Linked DNA regions of Arabidopsis thaliana. The protein of the gene in region 3 interacts with the protein of the main gene of each other region in a pairwise test. Each region holds a gene or a part of one and is shown on either strand. Other genes may lie near its edges.

Region 1 (7,493 bases), on a different chromosome or scaffold from region 3:
TAATTCTTGTTGATTCTCCCATAGATGACAGTAGATCATCTGGTTATATTTATGCAGAATTGAAGGCTCTTATTCTAGTTGGAGGATTCGGAACCAGATTGAGGCCACTTACCTTGAGCATGCCTAAACCACTTGTTGATTTTGGAAACAAACCCATGATTTTGCATCAGGTAGGTTAGCTTCTTCTTCTTCTTTTGTATTTGCTCAAGTTTTCACAGTTTCTTTTGTTCTCATTATGATGCATTCGCAGATTGAAGCTCTAAAAGGTGCTGGAGTGACTGAAGTTGTATTAGCTATCAATCACCAACAACCAGAGGTACATACATTCATTGTCCTTAATAACGATACGATAACAATTGAAATTCTTCCGTGTCATCCTCCTTCTCCTTGTGTGTTTGGTATTACTCAGGTCATGTTGAACTTTGTGAAAGAATATGAGAAGAAGCTAGAGATTAAGATTACATTTTCCCAAGAAACTGAACCGCTTGGAACAGCAGGGCCTCTCGCGCTGGCTCGGGATAAGCTGGTCGATGAATCAGGCCAACCCTTTTTTGTACTAAACAGCGATGTTATCTGTGAATACCCATTGCTTGAGATGATCGAGTTTCACAAGACTAACCGTGCTGAAGCATCAATCATGGTGACCGAGGTAGTCAAACAGGAGCATTTTCTGCATTTTGTGAAGTTTATCTTTCATCTGTTAATAGCATTTTCTGATATTAACAGGTTGATGATCCTTCTAAGTATGGTGTGGTGGTTACAGAGGAAGGTACAGCGAGAGTTGAAAGTTTTGTCGAGAAACCGAAACATTTTGTGGGGAACAAGATCAACGCTGGGATATACCTCTTGAGCCCATCTGTTCTTGACAGGATTGAGCTGAGAAGGACTTCGATAGAGAAAGAGATATTCCCTAAGATAGCTTCAGAGAAGAAGCTTTACGCGATGGTACTACCTGGTTTTTGGATGGACATTGGTCAACCGAAAGATTACATAACCGGGCAAAGAATGTACCTTAACTCTCTAAGAGAGAAAACTCCGCAAGAACTGGCCACAGGGGATAACATAATCGGGAATGTTCTCGTGCACGAAAGTGCGGTTATAGGAGAAGGTTGCTTGATAGGACCTGATGTGGTGATTGGTCCGGGATGTGTGATTGATTCAGGTGTAAGATTGTTTGGTTGTACTGTAATGCGCGGTGTGTGGATCAAGGAACATGCGTGTATCTCTAATAGTATCGTGGGATGGGATTCAACCGTTGGAAGGTGGGCTCGAGTTTTTAATATAACGGTTCTTGGCAAAGATGTTAACGTCGCCGATGCAGAGGTTTACAACAGTGGGGTTGTTATCGAAGAGCAAGGTCTGTGAAACCAGAGCCTAGACCTAGATTAGTTAGTTCCACTGTTTCCAGAGTCTTATGAACCGCAATATTCTTACAATTTAAAACAGATACAAACTCTATGGTAAACCATATCATAAACCGGTTAAAAATGGTATTCGACACCAATAGAGAAAAACGTTTTTCAGATCCATCCCTAAGCAAGTTGTGTATATTTCTTTCGTAAATGTTTTGAGACATTCTTATAAGGGACATATAAATTATTGTAGATAAAGCCTATGTTTCTTAAACACGAAACTGTGATTTATTAATAGACTATAGTTTGGTGTATGTAATTAACGTTGAGAAAAATGAAAGACGTGACGGCAGAGAGAGAGAGAGTGGACCCGACCCGGACGGCACGGAGACACTTTCAGTTTCTTCTTCTTCTCTTCTGTCTTTGTGATATTTCTCTCAAAATCAATATTTTTTCATCTGTGAAACGACTTCGTCTCCTCCCACTCCATTGTCACTTTCTTCTTCACCCTTCTCTCGTCTCCGTCTGATTTGGCGTGTAACTTCTTTCTACCGTAATTCTCCTTCGTCTTCTTCTCTGGTATATCTCTTGCATTCCCTCCTAATTTCTTAGCCAATTACTGTTTGGAATGATCTTCATTTTGTACTTCCCATTGCTTGATTTTGGTTGACACCTTTCTCGTTTAAGATCGTCTCGTTTTCATGCTGAAAACTCAAGTATTTAGTTTTTTCGTTTGTACCCTTTTGTTGATGTTTTGGTTTGGGGAGAAAATGTGGTTCCTTTCAAGTTTTTTCCGTCAATTTGAGTTCTCAGGTCAACGAAAATGGATGGATGTTCTTAACCCATTAACCAAGTTTGATTTTTAGAGAGATTCTGTAAACAAACAATAACATTTTTTGTGCTTGAATTATTTTTATATTTATTGCAAGTTTAGGATTTTGCTGCTTGAAATGATTTTGATCATAAATGTTTATTACATTTTCTTATGTGTGTAAAAACAGGTTTGGGATTCATGAGTTGAGTCACAAGGAAAAAGCATGTTAGACTGTGGCAAAAAAGCAGTCAAATCACAAGTAATCAGTGGCCGTCTCGAGAAGTTTGTAAGGTAACTCTCATTATTGTATATAGTTGATCGAAATTTAACATGATGATATCATTCTAGCAGATTCAGATATTGTTTAGCCAAAAAGGACATTCCTTTACTTCAGGTTTGAAACTAAATGGATATCTTTAGTTTATTTTGTTCTTCACAGGTTGGATAGTATGGATTCTAGGTACTCGCAGACTTCTGATACTGGTCTAAACAGATGCACTCTCAATTTACAAGGACCAACACGTGGTGGTGGTGCTCAGGGAAACAATGTATCTTCTGGTTCCTTTAAGAAAGGGTTTAGAAAAGGTTCTAAAGGTCTTTGGTCTATAGGAAGATCAATTGGTTTAGGGGTTTCACGAGCAGTTTTTCCTGAAGATCTTAAAGTATCAGAGAAGAAGATTTTTGATCCACAGGACAAGTTTCTTTTGCTCTGTAACAAACTGTTTGTTACTTCTTGCATTCTCGCTGTGTCTGTGGATCCGCTCTTCTTGTATCTTCCGTTTGTTAAGGATAATGAGAAATGTATCGGTATAGACCGGAAGTTGGCTATTATAGCAACAACGCTGCGGACAGTAATTGATGCGTTTTATCTTTTTCACATGGCTCTTCGGTTTAGAACAGCTTTTGTCGCCCCTTCTTCTCGGGTTTTTGGTCGAGGCGAACTTGTGATTGACCCTGCACAGATAGCAAAACGTTATTTGCAGCAGTATTTCATCATTGACTTTCTCTCTGTGCTTCCACTTCCACAGGTAATAACAGAAATGCCTCTCCCAGTGTTCTCTTATCTTCCATTGTTTCTTTGTTCTCTAAATTTTTATGACTAGTTTATGTTATTCTTTGGATTTTTCAGATTGTAGTTTGGAGATTTCTTTACATCTCTAAAGGTGCAAGTGTGCTAGCAACAAAGCGGGCATTGCGATCTATCATTTTAGTTCAATATATTCCAAGATTCATTCGGTTGTATCCTTTGAGCTCAGAGTTAAAGAGAACAGCTGGTGTTTTTGCTGAAACTGCTTGGGCTGGTGCAGCTTATTACTTGCTACTCTACATGCTCGCAAGCCATGTCAGTACATACTATCTTTGGTAGCTTTCCTCTTATATTCTCAAAAGATCCATTCATCACTCTCTCTTTTTTCCCTTATGTTTTTATCAGATTGTTGGGGCTATATGGTACTTATTGGCCTTGGAACGTTATAATGGATGCTGGACCAAGGTTTGCAGTAATAGCAGCTTGGACTGTCACAGAAACTTCCTGTTTTGTGGTAATGAAAAAATGGATGGTTATGCAGCTTGGACTACCATCAAAGATTCTGTTCTGCAATTAAATTGCCCAGTTAATACAACCGATAATCCTCCTTTTGATTTTGGGATCTACTTAAGAGCCTTGTCCTCTGGCATTGTCTCATCTAAGAGCTTTGTCTCTAAGTACTTCTTCTGTTTATGGTGGGGACTTCAGAATCTCAGGTACGTAATTCTAAAGAATCCGTCTTCTATAGTCATTATGAAAAGTCTCTGTTGCATTAGTAACTTTGTCGATGTCAAATGCAGCACTCTTGGTCAAGGGCTTGAAACCAGCACATACCCTGGAGAAGTTATATTCTCCATAGCACTTGCCATTGCTGGACTTCTTCTCTTTGCTCTTCTTATTGGAAACATGCAGACTTATCTTCAATCCCTTACAATCCGGCTTGAAGAAATGAGAGTGAAAAGACGTGATTCAGAACAGTGGATGCATCATCGAATGCTTCCACCGGAACTGCGAGAACGAGTCAGACGATATGACCAGTACAAATGGTTGGAGACACGCGGAGTTGATGAAGAGAATTTGGTTCAGAACCTCCCAAAGGATCTGAGAAGAGATATCAAACGCCATCTCTGTCTGGCTTTGGTTCGGAGGGTAAGTTGAATCTTACTTTAAAAGCCTTTTTCTAATCTTGATTCATAAATGAAACCATCTTGTTCTATTTTTCTTATGGAAAGGTTCCATTGTTTGAGAATATGGATGAGAGGCTGCTCGATGCAATCTGTGAGCGGTTGAAGCCGTGTCTGTACACAGAGAGCTCTTATTTGGTTCGGGAAGGCGACCCGGTTAACGAGATGCTCTTCATTATCCGTGGTCGGCTTGAGAGTGTGACCACCGATGGCGGAAGAAGCGGTTTCTTCAACCGCAGTTTGCTTAAAGAAGGAGATTTCTGTGGGGAAGAGCTTTTGACATGGGCACTTGATCCCAAATCTGGTTCCAACCTACCATCCTCTACCAGAACCGCAAAGGCTCTAACTGAAGTAGAGGCTTTTGCTTTGATAGCAGATGAGCTCAAATTTGTGGCTAGCCAGTTCAGAAGACTACACAGCAGGCAAGTTCAACACACATTCAGATTCTACTCGCAACAATGGAGAACTTGGGCTGCTATCTTCATACAAGCCGCGTGGCGACGATACGTGAAGAAGAAGAAACTTGAGCAACTCAGGAAAGAAGAAGAAGAAGGAGAAGGATCAGTTACTAGCATCAGAGCGACGTTCCTGGCTTCAAAGTTTGCTGCAAATGCACTTCGTAAAGTTCACAAGAACCGTATTGAAGCAAAGTCTACTATAGAACTTGTGAAATATCAGAAGCCTTCAGAACCTGATTTCTCTGCTGATGATACTAGTTGACCAAATTTTACCAGAAAAGTGCTAATGTCTATGAACGCTTATAACTTGTATAACTCGGATTGAATTTTATTGTTTGATTTGTGTTGCTACATTAAGATAAAGAAAAAGGTGGTAACATAAAAGATTATTTGTGATTGTGATTTGTTTTATATGTGTTTCTTTCTGTTTCCTGAAGATAAAATATGAAAGATACTGCAGGTTTATTGAGAGATGACATAGTTTTTGATAAGTTCATACAGAGATAACATAGTCTCGGATCATCAACCTTTCAGGAAGTTTTTGCAGAGCTTCTGCCATAGAATCCTGTCTGGTTGCGCAGTCTCCATCGTACTCTTTGCCTTATCCGCAAACTCTTGCTGAAAAAAATCAATCACATTGCAATTCTTGATAAGGCTAACTACATTGAGAACAAGAACACTCCGAAATGTTTATCTAGCAAAAATAGAGATCATAGAGAAGGAGAACAAACCTCCATCAGCTTCATATTAAGGACTCGGTCCACAATCTCAAACAGAATCTCTTTGTTATACTCTGGATGCCCTTGAATACAGAAAAAATGATCTCCAATAGAGAACATCTCGACGTTACATACCTCAGAAGAAGCAAGTAGTGTAGCAGACTCAGGAAGTTCCAACACTTCATCCTGATGACATTTTATAATAGCTAAAGATGCTGGGACCTCAACGTCTCCAAAGTAACCTCGTAGTTTTTCATTGTCTTTCGCTATGGTTATGCTTCTAAGTCCCATATCTGCACCTTTGAGTGCTCTTCCTATCTTCCCACCTTTAACTCTAGTAATTATCTATAGCCAAAAGAACAGAGACACAATCCAGAACAAAGCAAACGTTCATCAACAAACACTCTCTCCATCAATAAACCAACAATATAAAGATATCAATCTAACTATAATGGCATTGGAACAACTCGAGTCTGATCTAAAAATTGAAATGAGCTAAATGTGAGTCAATCTAAACCCTAAGATTCCAACCGATCAGATCCAAATCAGAAATTGAGCAAAACTGAATTGAAAGGAACCTGGTGGCCGAAGCAGATGCCGAGAACTTTCTTCTTCATGTGATCAAGTTTCTGACAAACTTCGCAAAGCTTAACAATCCAATCGGCGTCTCCGAAAGCATCATGTGGACTACCACTGATAACGAAACCGTCGTACTTGTCTAAATCATTCTCGTCGGGAAATTGTCCGTCGATGACTCGGAATAGATCCCATTGCTCACCTTCTTCGCCGAAAGTTGAAACGAAGACATTGAAGTAACCACCGTAAGTCTTCTTCACGAACTCTGAATCACACGTCGCTAAAAACAAAGCAAACCTCTTCTTCTGCTCAATAACCACCATCTTCTTCTTCTTTCGTCTCAGAGATCACACCGATGAAGCAAAAGGAGAGATAGAGATTCGGAGAATGGAAATGTGTAAGTTAGAGACGACGACGGGGAACAAGATCAGACACGCCAAGTGAGATTTTTGTTAAATAAAGAAAACAGAAAAAAAATAGTCAAAAATTAGTTGAAAAAAAAAGAATCACACATCGAGATTAGCTGTCTATAAGATGACAACTCCACCTAATAATTTATCTAAGTTTAGAATCACATTTATTTGTTTACCGTAGCTCGATTTTACGTGTATTTTTTGAAGATCAAATAATCTATTTATACACGTAACCTATACCCACTTATAAATGACTAAATTAAAATTACAAATACCAGTCTTCTTCTTTTTGTTTATCGGTAATTTATTATTATTATTTCTTATAGCAGTCGGTAATTTAGTTAAAAGCGAAGATATGTTACATTATGTGATGACCATGACCATATAATAGTTATGAAATTACACAAACGTAGTAGAATTTATTTAGACCATGAACGTGGAAACTAAACCAATTAGTGGGTTCTTCGTCCTTTCAGAAAATTCTTGCAAAGCATGTGCAAACGCTGCGTGTCTGGTTCAAACTTCTTGATCGAATCCTTTGCTTTCTCCAAAATTTCCTCCTACATATTTTTTAGTTTAAAAAATCGTTTTAGAGATTCCTCACCCTGGCTACATATATATATATATATCCTGAACAACGGAATTTAAATTGGGTACGTAGCGGAATAATCTCCCAAGGGTTGGGACATTAGAAGACCGACCAATCTATACATAATAGGATTAATAAAACCAAAGATAGACGTTTAAAACGAACCTCAACAAATTTGATCTTGTGGACACGATCAATGATCTCAAGGAGAATCTCTTTGTTATACTCGGGATGACCTTGAAAGCAAAGCAAGTGATCTTCCACTGAGAATATCTCAACGTCGCATTTGTCTGAGAATCCTATGACTCTAGCCGACTCTGGAGGCTCAAGTACTTCGTCTCGATGACATTGTATGATCGAC
Region 2 (7,089 bases), on a different chromosome or scaffold from region 3:
CGTACGTAGCTTTCCAAATCCGATTTTAAGGTTCACGGAACCTATACAGTGTACAGCTTACGACACGATCGTGACGGAGGACGTTGACGCCGTTATCACCCATTGGGAACGTAAGTTGGCGACTACTATAATCTGTGTGACATACGGTACACCTGCATGAAAAAGTAAGATTTGAAACTAAACTCTAAAACCTTAGTGGTCGATGGATTATACAGTGACGTGACTCTATGTGAACGATATACACCAGATTACGTCTCCTCTAAATCTCTTTAAATCTTATCTTAGTTTAAACTTTAATAATTCACGAGCGCCGTCTTTTTAAAATCTAAATCCAATAAAGCGACTTGTTCTCTATGGAGTTTTTAGCTATTCAGCCCTTTAATGGAAATTGATTAATTTTTATATTTTCAAAAACCTATTCGTATCGTATCAGTCTGAATTTTTAGCTTTTAGTACAATGTAAGAATTGAAAAAAGAAACCGAACCATTGAGAAGATTGGGGTGGTGAATTTGCTTTGAATGTGAATTTATTCTCTATGGAGTTATTAGCTGTTTCATTCCCTTTTTTATATGGGGACTACGGTTTATGTGCCTGAGGCTCTATATATATTGCATATAGATTGATGACATTGACATAGGCTAAGCTACATAGTCTTAAAACTTCGAGCTGTTTAATAATTAATCAACAAGAAGACAAAATTGTATGTACAAAGCACATGCACATACATAATACTATTACTATTTAAGCATAGGTAATTAATATTTAAAAGTTGTACATACTATCTCGAAACTAGCTATATACTGATGATACTTTGTTTTATATCACTAACGAATGGGCAAACATAAAAAATATAACTCAAAACTACATTGATCTAATTCAACTGAATCAAAATTTCGTATCACCGTGCAATGAAAAGTATGTTTAATCATACGTAACAAATGTTTTTGTTCAAATCAAACCAGTATTTCTTCAAAGGAATCCATATATACCAATATATGATTAGTTATCTATAACAACTATTTTCCAAATCATCACACACAAGTTTTCTCAAGTGCTCTCACTTCAATGCAGGTCATAATCTCTTAGTTTTTTTTTTTTTTGTAAAGACGTGCATAAAACAAACTCTTCATTGCTGAAGTTCTTTTTCGAAGAAAATCAGTGGTCTCAACAATTTTCTTCTAAATGCAATGGATACAACGGGAAAAACACCCAAAAAAAAAAGAAAAAAAAAAAGAGATTGAAATTAAAGAAGCAAATATCAAGTGCCATTTATAAAGGTTTGGCCTAAAGAAATGTGGAAAATTAGAAAGCAAATCCCGTCCGTGGCTATGTGGATGGGAACATGGACACGTGAGACCCCATTAGTTTCTCAATGTTGTTGTGTACATTTTGTTTTTTATACTGTTTGATAGTAGTATAAATATAAAAAACAAAACGATTCCCATCAATTTATTTAAAAATCTTTTTATGTTCTTAAGAAAAAATAGATTACATTGATAGAAGTGGGGAATCGTGGTCCAGCTTTGGCTTTTATAATGTCAACAAGCTCAAAAAGGGGGCTTCACTATTTTTATTTTCTTCCAAAAAGAAACTTCTATATTAAGCAAGTGTTTCTCTCCTTTTTTATTTAATTTTCTCGAGTGGGCTGCTAAATTTGGAACTAATCAATCGTGCTGGGGGCAAGATATGTTTTGCCATGAAGATCTCTCTCTTTTTGGTTTATAAAAGTCATACTTTTTGTTGTCAATTTGAACAAAGGACCAACGGTGGGATCTGATCATGTTTGATGTTTCTGACAAAAAATTATATTCGAAATAGATTTGATTTTGCCTTTCTTTCTCATTTCTTATGTTATTGCTAACGATCGGTTCAAATTTATTTCATTTCACATCCCCCATGCGCAAGAGATATGCAATCATGCGATTGAGTATAATCTATTTTCCCGTTTTCATAATATTTAATTAGAACAGGCTCACAAAAGAGCTATTGAGTCTCTTTTTTTTTTTTTTGTTAACCATGATCTTTCAAAAAATCTATGCATCTATCAAAATCGAATATAAGTTTTGACCAATGAAAACAAACAATTTAAAATACATGTATAATTTATAAACCCACTTGGTGATATTATATAATTCTTTTGAGTTTTGGAAAGATAGGATCAATCATGCAAATTGCAAGGATTGTCAACATTTTTTCGTATTTTAATCTTTACTTACAAAGCCTGATAAGGTTTGAAACAAGATCTTTATCATAATTTCCTTATTAATATTATCTGTGTAAGATTCTAGAAGGGGCAAATAATTTCACAACCAAACTCTCTTCCTTAAGACACAAGGTACATGTGATGATAAACAGAGACAGACACTTGATCCGGAAATAAACCTTAAACCCTTTTAAACTTGCCATAGAAACTACAAAACTCCACTTAGCCTGAGACTAATACATACACAACTAATTAATCCCGGCTCTTTAAGAAGTGGTTAATTCCTATTTGATCCGACCTAGAATTTCAGACACAGATCTCATCCTAGGACGCATATCTGGATCCATTTCCGTGCAGTTTAAAGCGACATGGATGGTTGCAATAACCTGCTTATTCGCAAAATCCTGTTTCAGAAGCTTTGGGTCTAAGATCTCAGCCAAAGATCTCTCTTCCTTGTGCCACTTCCTCAAAACATTCACGAGTTCTTCTTCTCCTTCGTTTTCAGAGGAACCATAAGGTAATCGACCAGTCAACAGCTCCAATAGAATCACACCAAAAGAATAAACATCGCATTTGTGAGATAATTTGCAATCAGAAGAAGCTCGGGCTTCGGGTGCAAGGTAAGCAGCTGCAGGAGCTGAGACTGAGAGTCTTGTGGCAAATCCTTGGTCTATACTTTGCGTCATGGATGATAGTGAATGGTCAGTGACTTTGGGATAGCCGGAAACCAGTCGTGTGAGACCAAATCCTGAGACGTGAGGATGCAGCTCATTATCTAACAGGATTTTGCTTGATTTTAGGTTGCCGTGAACATACTTTCTCGAACTGTATTCATGTATATACATCAAACCCCGAGCAGTCCCTTGAGCTATACATAACCTCTCAGCCCAAGAGAGTGTAGGCCGAGTATTCGAAGGTCCACCTACAGAAAAAAATTCAAATGCCGTCTCAGAAACCAGTGATACATGATACTCAAAGCACAGCATATCTCAGGAAAATGGAAAAATCTCAACGAGTACTAACTTCCCAAGGCAGATCAAGCAGAGGTTAACTATGAAAAACACACATCTATCGGATCATAAACTAATCTCTGTCTAAGAACCAAAAAGAAATATTCTTTCTGTCACATTAAACACTCTCTAGACTACCATTAACTCATTCTCGACTTAAGTTTTCCCATGAAAATAACAGGACCACATACTATAATGCTACACAGAAGCAAATCTGTATGCTTGTCATCGAGTTCTACTGTTTCAAGTTTCAACACATGTAAACACAGTAAAGCTTTGAACAATAAAACAATGAGAAGAAGCGAACATGTTAGTCAATACAACACAATCAGACAAAGACAAAAAAAAAGCTCTCCACTTTATAGTCAGAGCAAGTACACATAAAAACCTTATAACTAGTGGTAGATTTATGCAGAATTAGCACCAAAATAGGAAAAAGATTAGTGTTTTACCATGTAAGGCAGAGTACAAGCTGCCATTGTTAATGAAATCAGTGATGAGAAGCTTCTCGTCCTCTGCATAGTAGTAAGCTCTTAGCCGTACAATGTTAGGATGATTGATCCTACCAATGCTCTCAACTTCATTCACAAAATCCTTAAATCGCCACGTGTCATTGCCGTCGCTGAGCCTTCTAACGGCGACAACGGTGGAGGACGATTCCGCCGCCACTACTCTATACACAATCCCGCTTCTGCTCTTGCCTATCACGTAAGCCGATGCTCTCAGCAAATCCTCAAGCTCAAGCTCGAATCCTTCATCAAACGCTACGAATTTACCTTCTTGCCCTTCTTCGTCGAACTCTGAAACCACCGTCGTCGTCTTTGTCTCCGAATTGTACCCATCGGAGCTTCGTTTTCTCCGGATCAGCCATACAGAGAGAGAAACAGCTCCGATTACAACCGAAACTCCAGAAATCAGAGAAACGGTTACTGAACCGGTGATCTGCTGCTTCTTCTCCTTTGCGTCGTCATTGCTGATTACACTAGGGTTTGGTTTCTGGAGTTCTTGAGTACCTTCCGGCTTTGCAGCGACGAAATTTGGGGTTTTGATTTTTTCACACGGCGTTTGCAATGGGAAGCCACAGAGATGAGAGTTTCCAGCGAATGCGTTTGGTCCTTGATTCAACAGAGATCCCACCTGAGGTACTTTTCCGGTGAGATTGTTGTGACTAAAATCTAAGCTGACGTGAACTCGAAATCGACCGTACGACGGTGGAATCTCGCCGGTGAATTGGTTGAAAGAGAAATTCAAGGTTCCGACGAGGCTTCCGAGTTCAGTGAGTGACTCAGGGAGTGAACCGTTGAGATGATTGGAGGAGAAATCAAGGTGGTTGAGTGACTTCATGGACTTGATTTGGGCCGGTATTGGGCCGGAGAGTGAGTTGTGAGAGAGATCGATGTACCGGAGCTTGGTTGCTTCGAAGAGACGAACCGGTATGGTTTTAGAGAAATTGTTGTGAGCTAGATCAAGCCGGTTTAGCGAGTTGAGTAAACCGAGTTCTGATGGAATGTAACCGGAGAGACTTTTTCCGAAGAGTACAAGAGTTGTGACTCGGCCGTTTGTGCAGACGATTCCGGACCAATGGCAAGGAGTCGGGTCGGATTCAGACCAGTGGGTCATTACTCGGGTCGGGTCGTTATCGACGGCGGATTTGAGAGCTAGGAGAGATAAACCGTCGGAATTGAGAGAGGAGCAAAAGCTCATGCAGAGAAAGATGGAAGAAACAACAAGTGAAAGAATCGATGGTAACTTCATTTTTTGCTTAGGATATAGGAATCTTGAAACTTTTTGGTTGTTAAAGAAGCTACAAATTACAGATGATTCATATAGTGTGAGGCAACGAGAAGTTGCAGAGGAAAAACGGTAAACAGTGAAGACGAAGGAGAAGAATAATGGGAGATTTGACCGAGGTATGATTCTTTTATGGTTTCATGTTAGCAACGTGGTGTAATGTAGTCATGATCAATTTTTTGAATTCTTGTCCATATACTATGGTTTGAAATTTTAATAATATATACACTACAGTTCTAATTAAAAATGTGATATATTGGGATTTGCGTTTTGGGTTTTTGACATTTTGTGGTTATTTTTGAAACTTTTTGAAGTTTAGTTATTGATTGATGCAGGTGGGTTGTTGTTACATTTTTAATTTGTGTGTATCCGTTGGTGATATCTAGGGTCACTGGATTTTTATAGCATTAAAACTATATATAGGTATCAAAAAAAAAAGTTACAACAAATTTGGGATACAAAAAATAAACAAAGTGTTATCTTAAATGCTATAGTCTATAGAATCTTAACTCGTATAGGACCTCTTCACTCTTGAGCCATGAAAAAACTGTACAGTCCCACTGGGTCGATAATTGTTTTACTTTTACAAGATTCAGCAGTAACTAAAAAAAGGATTAAAATATGTTTAAGAATAATTGAAAATAATCGAACTCGACCTATTGCATATGAATTTGAATTGGATAGAGGATGTCATATTTATTCAAATTAAAGGAGGGAAGAGACGGTAGAGAGTGGATTGTGTCAGAGAAAAATCATTAACCAACCGACAAAGTAACCACACAAAGATGCATTTGAAAATATGCCACTTTTGGCTCCTCTACTCCTAGTCTTAATGGGCAATTCCGAAATATACACGAAGAGTCACAAGTCCCATTGTTGTTGGGTTAGCACTTTGTCACGGCCCAAATTCAACTTATTCACAACATCAAATAAATATATGCATCATATCATCACATCCGACTTTTGTTAACAATTACTTTTTTCAGTTAAAGAACTTTCAAGAGGAAATAGTAGTACCTTAAAATCCTACAAAACCTTGTCGTGCAAGAACTGGGAGGGCTACAAATTGCGGTCAATGTACGCAAACATCTTACCGTTTTTGGTACAAACACTAGAACTCCAATGCAGTGAGTGAGATGGGCCAATTTTGGCAATCTCAATCAACGGTCCATGTGGCCCAATAAATCACTAAAAACGGCCGAATTTTTAGATCCATGTAACTTAAATAATTGGTGGGGACGGAAAGTCTTGTCGTTTTCATTTATTCGAGTGTGGCACTCTGATTCATCTCAAGCTTATTTTTTATAAAAAGAGTAATTTTAGAGGCTGAACAATAACGACCTTGAACAAAATAAAATAAAATAAGAGGGTGAACAACGACCAGTCAAAATTTGAAAATTTACTCACCAGAGTCTATAAAAATTAAAAAGGAAAGGAAAAAAAAAGAATGAATCATAGTGAAATGACCTTATTTATGGCTCCAACTATAGTGATTAGTAACCACTAAACCAGAAAAAAACAAGTGACCCATTACACAGGGATTAAAAATACTACCGAATAAAGCCCAATAGGCCCAATTCAAAAGCGTCTCTCTATCATCGTCTCTCCAAACCCCATAAATTGGATATTTCCTTTCTCTAAAAATTTGGCTTTATTAACAGACGCACTCCAAAGCTAACGTTGCTTTCTTCCCACTCCAAATGGCTCTTGTGCTCTCAGAACACACACAGATATAATAAACTCTTAACGAAGAAGAAGACTTTTTCTTTTCTTGAGCAAGCTCTGAGAAACTCACAGAGAGGGACAGAGAGAGAAATATTTCATTCGCTACTCTCTTTAATACCGCCATTGATGCAACCTCCTTCGCGTTAACTGTCAAAATACTCCCCAACTGACAAAAATTAAATTCCTTTTTTTCTCTCTCGATTTTAAAAGCTCTAAAAGGAACGAGTTGATCAAGTCGGTCGGTTCTGGTTATCACTGAATTTCATTCAACTCGGTTTATTCCGGTTTAAGTGTGATTTTCCCGGCTAATGGATCTGACCCAAGGTTTCAGAGCTAGATCCGGCGTTGTTGGGCCGGTG
Region 3 (7,542 bases):
TGATCTCATGGAGAGGCCTCTGTGTGACTGTGCCCCTAGAAAAGAAAGAATTGAGCATATGGTAATATAACTATACCTTGCATCTAACAGCTATATTAATTGCATCAGAAGGACGAAGATCGAAGCTGACACAATCCGACTTATCCCCCACCTGCAATTCCATTCATAGCAGATTTAGTAAAAGTTTAAAACAGATGGAAGTGAGATACTAGTAATGGATAACGAGTTTCGGGACAACTTTTTGAAAAAATGAATGGAAGATGCATTTCTATGCCAGAAGTTACAAACCTTTGAAAGGTATAACTCTGCGAAATATGCCTCGTGAACTCTTGTGGTAACTCTAACAAGCCTAACCTGCAGAAAAAGTTGGTGTTTGGTAACGTTACTCACATAAGAATTTGTATTGCTAAAGGGAAAATAACAGGATAGAGAAAACAGAAAAACCGAAAGGCGTACCTCATAACCCATTTTGTCTACCATGTCCTTCACCACTTGATACATAGTGGGCCTTGCCTACAAGCAGTAACCAAAAAAAATCCATAAACCCTCTCTTCACAACTCTTGACTGATTCAAACAGAAGCATAACGCAAAGAATAACAGAAGCCCTACTATTTGAACATTTGTCATTGCTGCCATAAGTAACACACTAGGCATCTCCACTGCAATAAACAAAAAACAAAGAAAGGAGATTCAAAACACAAGGCAAATTGGAAATCTCAACACACATAAACAAAAGAATGAGTTTTGATATCACATACAGACGATAATGGGGAGAAGAAGACCAGTTCCATCTTCCATTTTCAGCACAATTGCAGAATGTGGAGCATAATTTGGAAGATTCCCTCCTTGAGGATTATTGTGGACACATCGAAGTTGCCTCCCATCCTTCATCTTCACCATGAAACCATCTGGTCCACTTTTTACCTCAACTTATATACAAAACCAACAAGAGAACATCGATGATTAGAATCAAAACACAAGAAGAATAGAGAGAACTAATGGTATAAATACAGATTTAACCAGGATTACCAGCTTCCAATACACTAGACTTGACATAATCCTCATCGTTCTCGTTGAAATTCTCTGCTGTGCTTCCGGTACCATCAGAGTGCGAGCTGAAAAGACATTTGATACTCTTATACCTCCGAAGATGCAGACGAAGATTCACTGTAGCAGCCTGAGACTTGTCATTTTTGGTCTGGTTACCCCAGAATTGTTTTCTGAGACTCCTAGTTTTCGAAACAGAGCAGTTGACAAGTAAAGCAGAGACACCCAATTGTCTGGGACGAACACTAGGGCAAACAACCGGTGCTTGAAGCGACCTCATCTTCACTCTTTTGATGCAGAACCCAGAAACATTCAAGTGTCAAAATTAAAACTTTTAGTATCCAACATCACCCCATCTCTTAACCCTAACTCGGTTCACAAAATCACAAAACTACTTTACTTGCAAGAGAAATAACTGATCACCACACAAATACAATAGCTAAAAAGGTCGGGAAAAAAACAAAACATGTTGATCAAAACAAGTGAAAACTATAGTTTATATTATATCACCTAGTAGCTAAATTGACCACGTAATCACATAAAATCTGATGAATCTCTACAATCACCTATGATAGAAATACAAGAAAGAGTGAAACTTTACCGAAAATTTTCGTAAGATTCGATTGGATAGATCAACAGAGGAACTAAAGGAAGAATCCCACACAGACAGATCAACAAAGAGCAGAGAGAGAGGAAAAAATAGAATCTGTGACTCTGTCAATTTTATCGACTCATGTTTGTTTCAATGACGAATATACCCTTTCACCAATATCTTGCATTTGATTAATGGTCGTGGTGAAGGGATAAAAATGAGAATTCAGTGTCTAGCCGTGATGACGTGAACCGTTAACTCGTGGAAAACTGACAAGTCATCAAGTAACAGTCACCGATTAAATTAAGCCTAATGGACGCCACGTGTACGGCGCCTGTGTCAGGGATGGTTATGGATAAGGTGGTTTTTTTCTTTTTTTCTTTTTGTAATGTTTGGATGTGACTTTAGTGGGATGTGTGGGAAACTGTTTTATCTACTTTGAAAGTAAATGACCAATATGGGCCTAGGCCCATTTAAATATCTACCGGTCCAAGCTTTATGACTCGATCCTTTTCGGCTCATCTCAATTCCTTTCTTCAGCAGGTCAGCTGGTGGTTATAACTAACAATCTTTCGTATATACTAACAATTATAACAAACACACGTGGAACTCGAGAGTAAAATAACCACCACATACACAAGAGTCACGAGACTCACGACGCACCTTTCGTATACAGACAATCTTAGGACCATTTGCCTACAATAAAACCTTAAATGTGGTTTTGTCTCCATTTTGCTGTATCGTTGTCGTAGTGCAGGCCCAAATTAATTTGTCATTGTTGACTTGTTTGTAGAGTTTGGAGCTCTCATTAAATGTTGTAGTGCAGGAGCAAATTTTTCCTTTCTCCTTACGAAAATAAGATCGAAATTGCGATATGTTACAAATACCATTAACTTTAGAATACAACAAGAAAGTTTGAATAAGGGTATGTTACAAAGATATAGAGTTTGTGACGGAGTTAAACCAAATTACATGAATCATTGCAACGAAGTTGAAAAGCTTGGTCACATTTCATTATATAAGAATTATATAGAGAATTATATAGCTATTTAAATGTGTTTAGGTTTTAGTATAAGAAGAAGCTGTAAAGTTTTGGGGTAAAACTATAACAAATGTTTTGATCGAGTTTAATAAAAATACACATGCAACTTAGGACATGAACAATAGCTAGCTTGGAGCTAGAAAACATTGATAGGTTTTTCAAATATTCAAGACCCCTCTGATAATAGTACATAACACAAATCTAGACGAAGATACCAGAAGCTTCTTCCAACTCAGGTGAAGGATCAAGCTTGGCCGGAGAAACGGAAGGATCCTTCACAATCAATCGAATCTCCGCTTTTTCACCCCACAAACTATACTTGAGAAACGCAACCACAATTCCACCTACAAAGCTCCTCATCTCAGACTTTTTTCTTTGCCCATTCTTACACATACAACCGGCCATAAACCCAACAAAACCGGGCAAATCATCGTCCAACATATCCATATGTCCGTAATCCGCAGCCACGAAATGGGCTTTCGTCGCCTTACACTCTTTGTAAAACTCCTCATGGTTTAAGTCCGTTGGTGCGCATGGTGGCATCACGTTGTTCCACTTCGGTCCGAGTCCGGTTCCCACCACTGCAACCGGTATGTCCAGCTCGAAAGATTCCGGTTTATACGTTAAGATATGCGGATCGGTTCTAATGTATTTGTTAGTTCCTGCGACTGGATCAATTCCTATTAGAGCTGAAAACGTGATGGATGGGTCTAATGTTGCGGCATGGCCTAGCGCAACCGCAAACGCCGTTTTCCCACCGCGGCTGTGGCCCACGAGTGAGGTGTATTTTCCATTAGCATTTACCGAAGTTGGTAGGTGAGCTTTGAGGTTTTCCGATGCCCAGTTTATCACACTTCCAGCATCGTCCACTTCCACTTGCCCTCCCGGCGGCAATAATTTGCACAACTGTCATTCAAGAATATAAAATTAACTTATATCTTTTCACGTAACAATCAATCTCAATTAATGTACATTTTGTTTTACATGTTACATGTTACATACCGTAAGTTATCCTTTTAAATGATTCATAATTATTTTTTGTATAGTTAAATTATGTACCTGTGGGGCTACAAGAATGTAACCATGCGAAGCGATGTGGTTAAGAACGTCAGAGTAGAAGTAGTTGCGAAGATAAAAGCCATGGAAGAATAAAACGACGGGATAAGTTCCGGCGACTGTTGGACAGGTGATTCTCACCGGTTTTGGCGGTGCTGTTGAATCATTTTCCACCGGATCCACCGGTATCTCGGTTGTCGGGAGGCTGCCTATCTCAAAAGCCGCCGGAGTTACCACAGAGGAAAACGTTGGACTGTCCTCTATCGCCGCCATTTGTATTAAACTAGATAATTAAAGAGTTGTGTTGAAGATTTATGTATGAATCCTTCGAACTTTAGCTAGTTGTTTTGTATTTATAGGGGGAGAATGTTGATTTTTCTTATCCGATTCATTATAATTCTGTGGTTCTCTCGGCTTCTCATCGTAGTTATAACAAAATGAATTAAATACTTTCGAAAACGATAAATGCATGGGCTGCGTAAACAAAAGAGCATGTGTTGATTCAAATTATTACAAGTTAGTTGGTATACAATTACTCCATGCATTTATCATTTTCGGAGTACAATTTAATTCGTTTCCCGAAAACGATGTGTCCATAAACACATACCAAGACTTACTAAGTACTACTAAAAAATATAATCAAATTGCATTAGGAAACATATTGTTATGTTTGTTAAAAAAAACATTTTGTTATGTTTGTTCAGTAAAAAAAAAAAAAAAATTGTTATGTAAAAAAAAAAGAAACAAATTGACCAAAAAAGTAAAATTTGACCAAAAACAAATAGTAGCACAAGAAAAACAGAGAACAGAAAAAGAAGAGAGGAAGGGTGACGTGGCACAATTTCCCTGCGACGCACCCAACCTCCGTCTCTCTCTCTCTCAGATCGGCGGCCATCTCCGTCGAGTAATTGAAATCTCTCTCAGCCGTTGGATTCGAATTCCGCCGCATCTTCATATACCTCGTTTCAATCCTGCGGAACCCTAGTTGCTCTGGTGAGTCCCTGGTGAACCCCCGGATTTTAGAATCATCTATTGTATTTACTTTAATTCCGTTCCATTGATGATTTCTGCGTTAGATTTTGAGGTCTCTGCCTTCACCTCTATGTATTATAATGGCTCTGATTCGAAGTTCACATTCTGTTTGTTTATATGCAGAATTGTGGTTTGCTACTGTGATAAGTTCTTCAGTGGTAGATTAGGAAGCACCACCAATGGAGATTGTGTAAGACATATTCATTACAGCTCTCTTTTAAGGATTATGGGGTCTGTTTGCTGTGTGGCTGCAAAGGACAGAAATGTTCCCAGTGGAGCTATTGATAATTCAGTGTGTTCACCATCGTGGAGTTTTCGACGGGACAACAGGAGGCGTGTAGCTGATGAGATTAAAGATTCATCTAATCATAATGTTGGGAGTAGAGGTATTGACATCGATAAGTTGTCGTTAGGCTTAGAGAGAGGACCTCCGTCATCTGAAACTGGGGGTTTAGCTACTCTTGGCTCTCAGAAATCCGCAGACTCAGAGATGGGCACAGCTTCGATGGTTACAGCTCCTTTAGCGGGTACAAGTTTGGCGATTCGATCTCCTTCAGGTATGTTCGTTCAAACACTTTTTTTGTGGGGAAAGTGTAGAACTTTCAGTTTCATTGTTTGGGAATATACTGTTGAGTCGATTTTAGTTCCTTCGTGGATGTTCTTTTCCAGTCTACTCAATCCAGTCAAAGGGGTAACAACATTTATTTGGTAGGATTAGATCGAGAGACATTTCATTTTTTGGTAGAGATCATTTCAGCTTTATTTTCTTACTGTAATGAAGGATTTTTTTCCTGTCTCTCATGCATCTATTTTCTCTGGGCAGATGTATCCTTGGCAAGTCCTGTTCGTGTTGAGGTGAGATCATTACTTACTCCAATCAGAGTCTCTTTTCGTCCCTTCAGAGTCTCTTAACCCTCTCGTCTTTTAATTCTTCAGGTGAAGAATATAGTTGACTCATCAGATATTGTTTCATCAGTTTTACCAAATCCGTCAAGTTCCACCTCGGTCTCTGATCTTCCTTCAGCTCACACACATTCACTTCCTCCCAGATCAACTCCGTCTAGACGTGCTCGAGGTTCACCTGGGCAGCAGTTGTTTAGGCAGGTTTCTGATAGTCAAACTTTGGGATTGAAATCTCCCAATAATTACTCAACATCTGAAGGAAGGTCGTCCTTTGTGCTTTCGACCTGTAGTAATGACACTGCCACTGGGTCCCATTTTGCTTCTTCTGAAGGTGGCTGGTCCATAAACGCCTTTTGTGAGCTCGTGGCTCAGTCTCAAAGGGAGAGATGGTCTTTTGATAATGAGCACTTAGGTTCCGGACGACGAAGACTAAGTGGGTGTAGTAGTAGCAGATTCTCATGCTCCCCTTCTGTTGATCAGCAGACTTGTGGGCGTTGCTCAAAGCTTTTAACTGAAAGGTCTCCAGTTGCCAGGTTTGACCTTCCAATTCCTGCTGTTCTAGCGTGCGGCCATGTTTACCATGCGGCATGCTTAGAGACAATGACAAATGAAACAGAGAAGTATGATCCTACGTGTCCCATATGCACAGAGACACAGGTTACTAAATTATCGAGGAAAGCTCTAAAAGCCGAGGCAGAATTGAAGGCAACGAGTTACAAAAGGTGTAAGAACCGTGTGGTAGATAGTTATGTCCGCAGTGAATGTGAGGATCTTATGTTCCAGAATCTAGGGAAACGAGAAGGAAAAGGTCTGAAGATGGATCCTAGTTCGAATACCAAAGGCTCCACGTCTAAGTCTTTTATGAAATGGCACTTCGGTTCCGTCAGCACCAAGTGGAGTAAAGCCAGGGATTCTACCTCGAAGAAGAGCTTTTGGTCCAGACATAGTAATAAAAGATTAAGTCATTCTTTTTCAAGCGTTGAGGTAAAATATCCATACGAGACTCAATATGTTCACTTTCCATCTAAACAAAGTTAAGTTTCTCAACTGCTAACACTTCTTTTTCCGCATTTCAGGGCCTTAATCAGGCAACATGACATAAAATAGGACTGGCTTTGGATTAGAGAAAAGCTCCCTTAAACATTTTGTATCCCTTTTTACTTTTATTCCATGTTTAAATGTCACATGGGGAAAATATGTGTACCAATGAAACAAACTTGTCATTTTGTAGAATGCAGAAGAAACAAAAAAGGATAAACTAAAAATCTATCTTTACTAAAGAGTCCCTAATTCTCCACAGGAAAGATTCAGATCAGCGGAATTTAGTCCTGTGGTGTGCTCAAAAACGGTTGTCCATGTTCTCGACTATGCTTTGCAGTCCTGACTTATACGAAGGATATAACAATTTCACTCCTAGTTTATCCTTCATGCGTTCGTTGCAGACTCGTTTCTCGCCTCTCAATGAACTTTCCTCCCGAGATTCATACAGAAATGGAAATGGTTTTGTGGTGATATTCCCCGGCCAACGTTTCTCGATCAACTCCAAGGCATATTCAAACACCTCTTCTCTTGCTGCCGGATCATCATCAACAATATTGTAGATCTCCCTGCCAAAATGGTTGATTCATCCGTCTCAATGGTTCAATCATCCATCACAAAAGAATGATCATAGATGAAGAGGGATACACAAACCCTGATGCTGGCTTTTCAGTGGCAGCTTTAAGAACTTGGCATATATCTTCAACATGAACTCTCGACGTGAATTTACGGGACGCTCTTCTCTTTTGACCTTCAGACAAACGCTCCTGCTTTAACAAGGTATCAATTGCACTGCAGCAAGAAACGTTCCTTTTGAGAATCAGTTTTAAA

The links.
Region 1: the proteins of CLH1 (region 3) and CNGC9 interact in a protein complementation assay, tested with the Arabidopsis thaliana proteins (one large-scale study listed by BioGRID).
Region 2: the proteins of CLH1 (region 3) and AT2G42290 interact in a protein complementation assay, tested with the Arabidopsis thaliana proteins (one large-scale study listed by BioGRID).

What each region holds. Positions count from the first base shown.
Region 1 is NC_003075.7:14,924,578-14,932,070, reverse strand, and holds CNGC9 (cyclic nucleotide gated channel 9), read left to right. Parts: upstream 1-1,715; 5' UTR 1,716-1,931; exon of another isoform or gene 1,932-2,068; intron 2,069-2,353; 5' UTR 2,354-2,389; coding exon 2,390-2,457; exon of another isoform or gene 2,458-2,605; coding exon 2,606-3,194; intron 3,195-3,295; coding exon 3,296-3,508; intron 3,509-3,598; coding exon 3,599-3,909; intron 3,910-3,993; coding exon 3,994-4,342; intron 4,343-4,425; coding exon 4,426-5,097; 3' UTR 5,098-5,237; downstream 5,238-7,493. Other genes in the region: AT4G30570 (Glucose-1-phosphate adenylyltransferase family protein), read left to right, coding at 120-170, 251-316, 410-649, 727-1,365; GGP3 (Class I glutamine amidotransferase-like superfamily protein), read right to left, coding at 5,358-5,453, 5,567-5,899, 6,133-6,453; AT4G30540 (Class I glutamine amidotransferase-like superfamily protein), read right to left, coding at 6,996-7,103, 7,298-7,493. UniProt on the Arabidopsis thaliana protein: Putative cyclic nucleotide-gated ion channel.
Region 2 is NC_003071.7:17,614,504-17,621,592, forward strand, and holds AT2G42290 (Leucine-rich repeat protein kinase family protein), read right to left. Parts: upstream 5,234-7,089; 5' UTR 4,970-5,233; coding exon 3,667-4,969; intron 3,127-3,666; coding exon 2,489-3,126; 3' UTR 2,257-2,488; downstream 1-2,256. Other genes in the region: AT2G42300 (basic helix-loop-helix (bHLH) DNA-binding superfamily protein), read left to right, coding at 7,039-7,089.
Region 3 is NC_003070.9:6,800,913-6,808,454, forward strand, and holds CLH1 (chlorophyllase 1), read right to left. Parts: upstream 4,181-7,542; 5' UTR 4,012-4,180; coding exon 3,742-4,011; intron 3,589-3,741; coding exon 2,884-3,588; 3' UTR 2,574-2,883; downstream 1-2,573. Other genes in the region: AT1G19660 (Wound-responsive family protein), read right to left, coding at 77-151, 289-354, 457-513, 611-660, 760-930, 1,031-1,328; AT1G19680 (RING/U-box superfamily protein), read left to right, coding at 4,997-5,327, 5,594-5,625, 5,707-6,657, 6,750-6,770; AT1G19690 (NAD(P)-binding Rossmann-fold superfamily protein), read right to left, coding at 7,013-7,280, 7,366-7,503. UniProt on the Arabidopsis thaliana protein: Catalyzes the hydrolysis of ester bond in chlorophyll to yield chlorophyllide and phytol. Shows a preferential activity toward chlorophyll a. Does not seem to be required for chlorophyll degradation during senescence.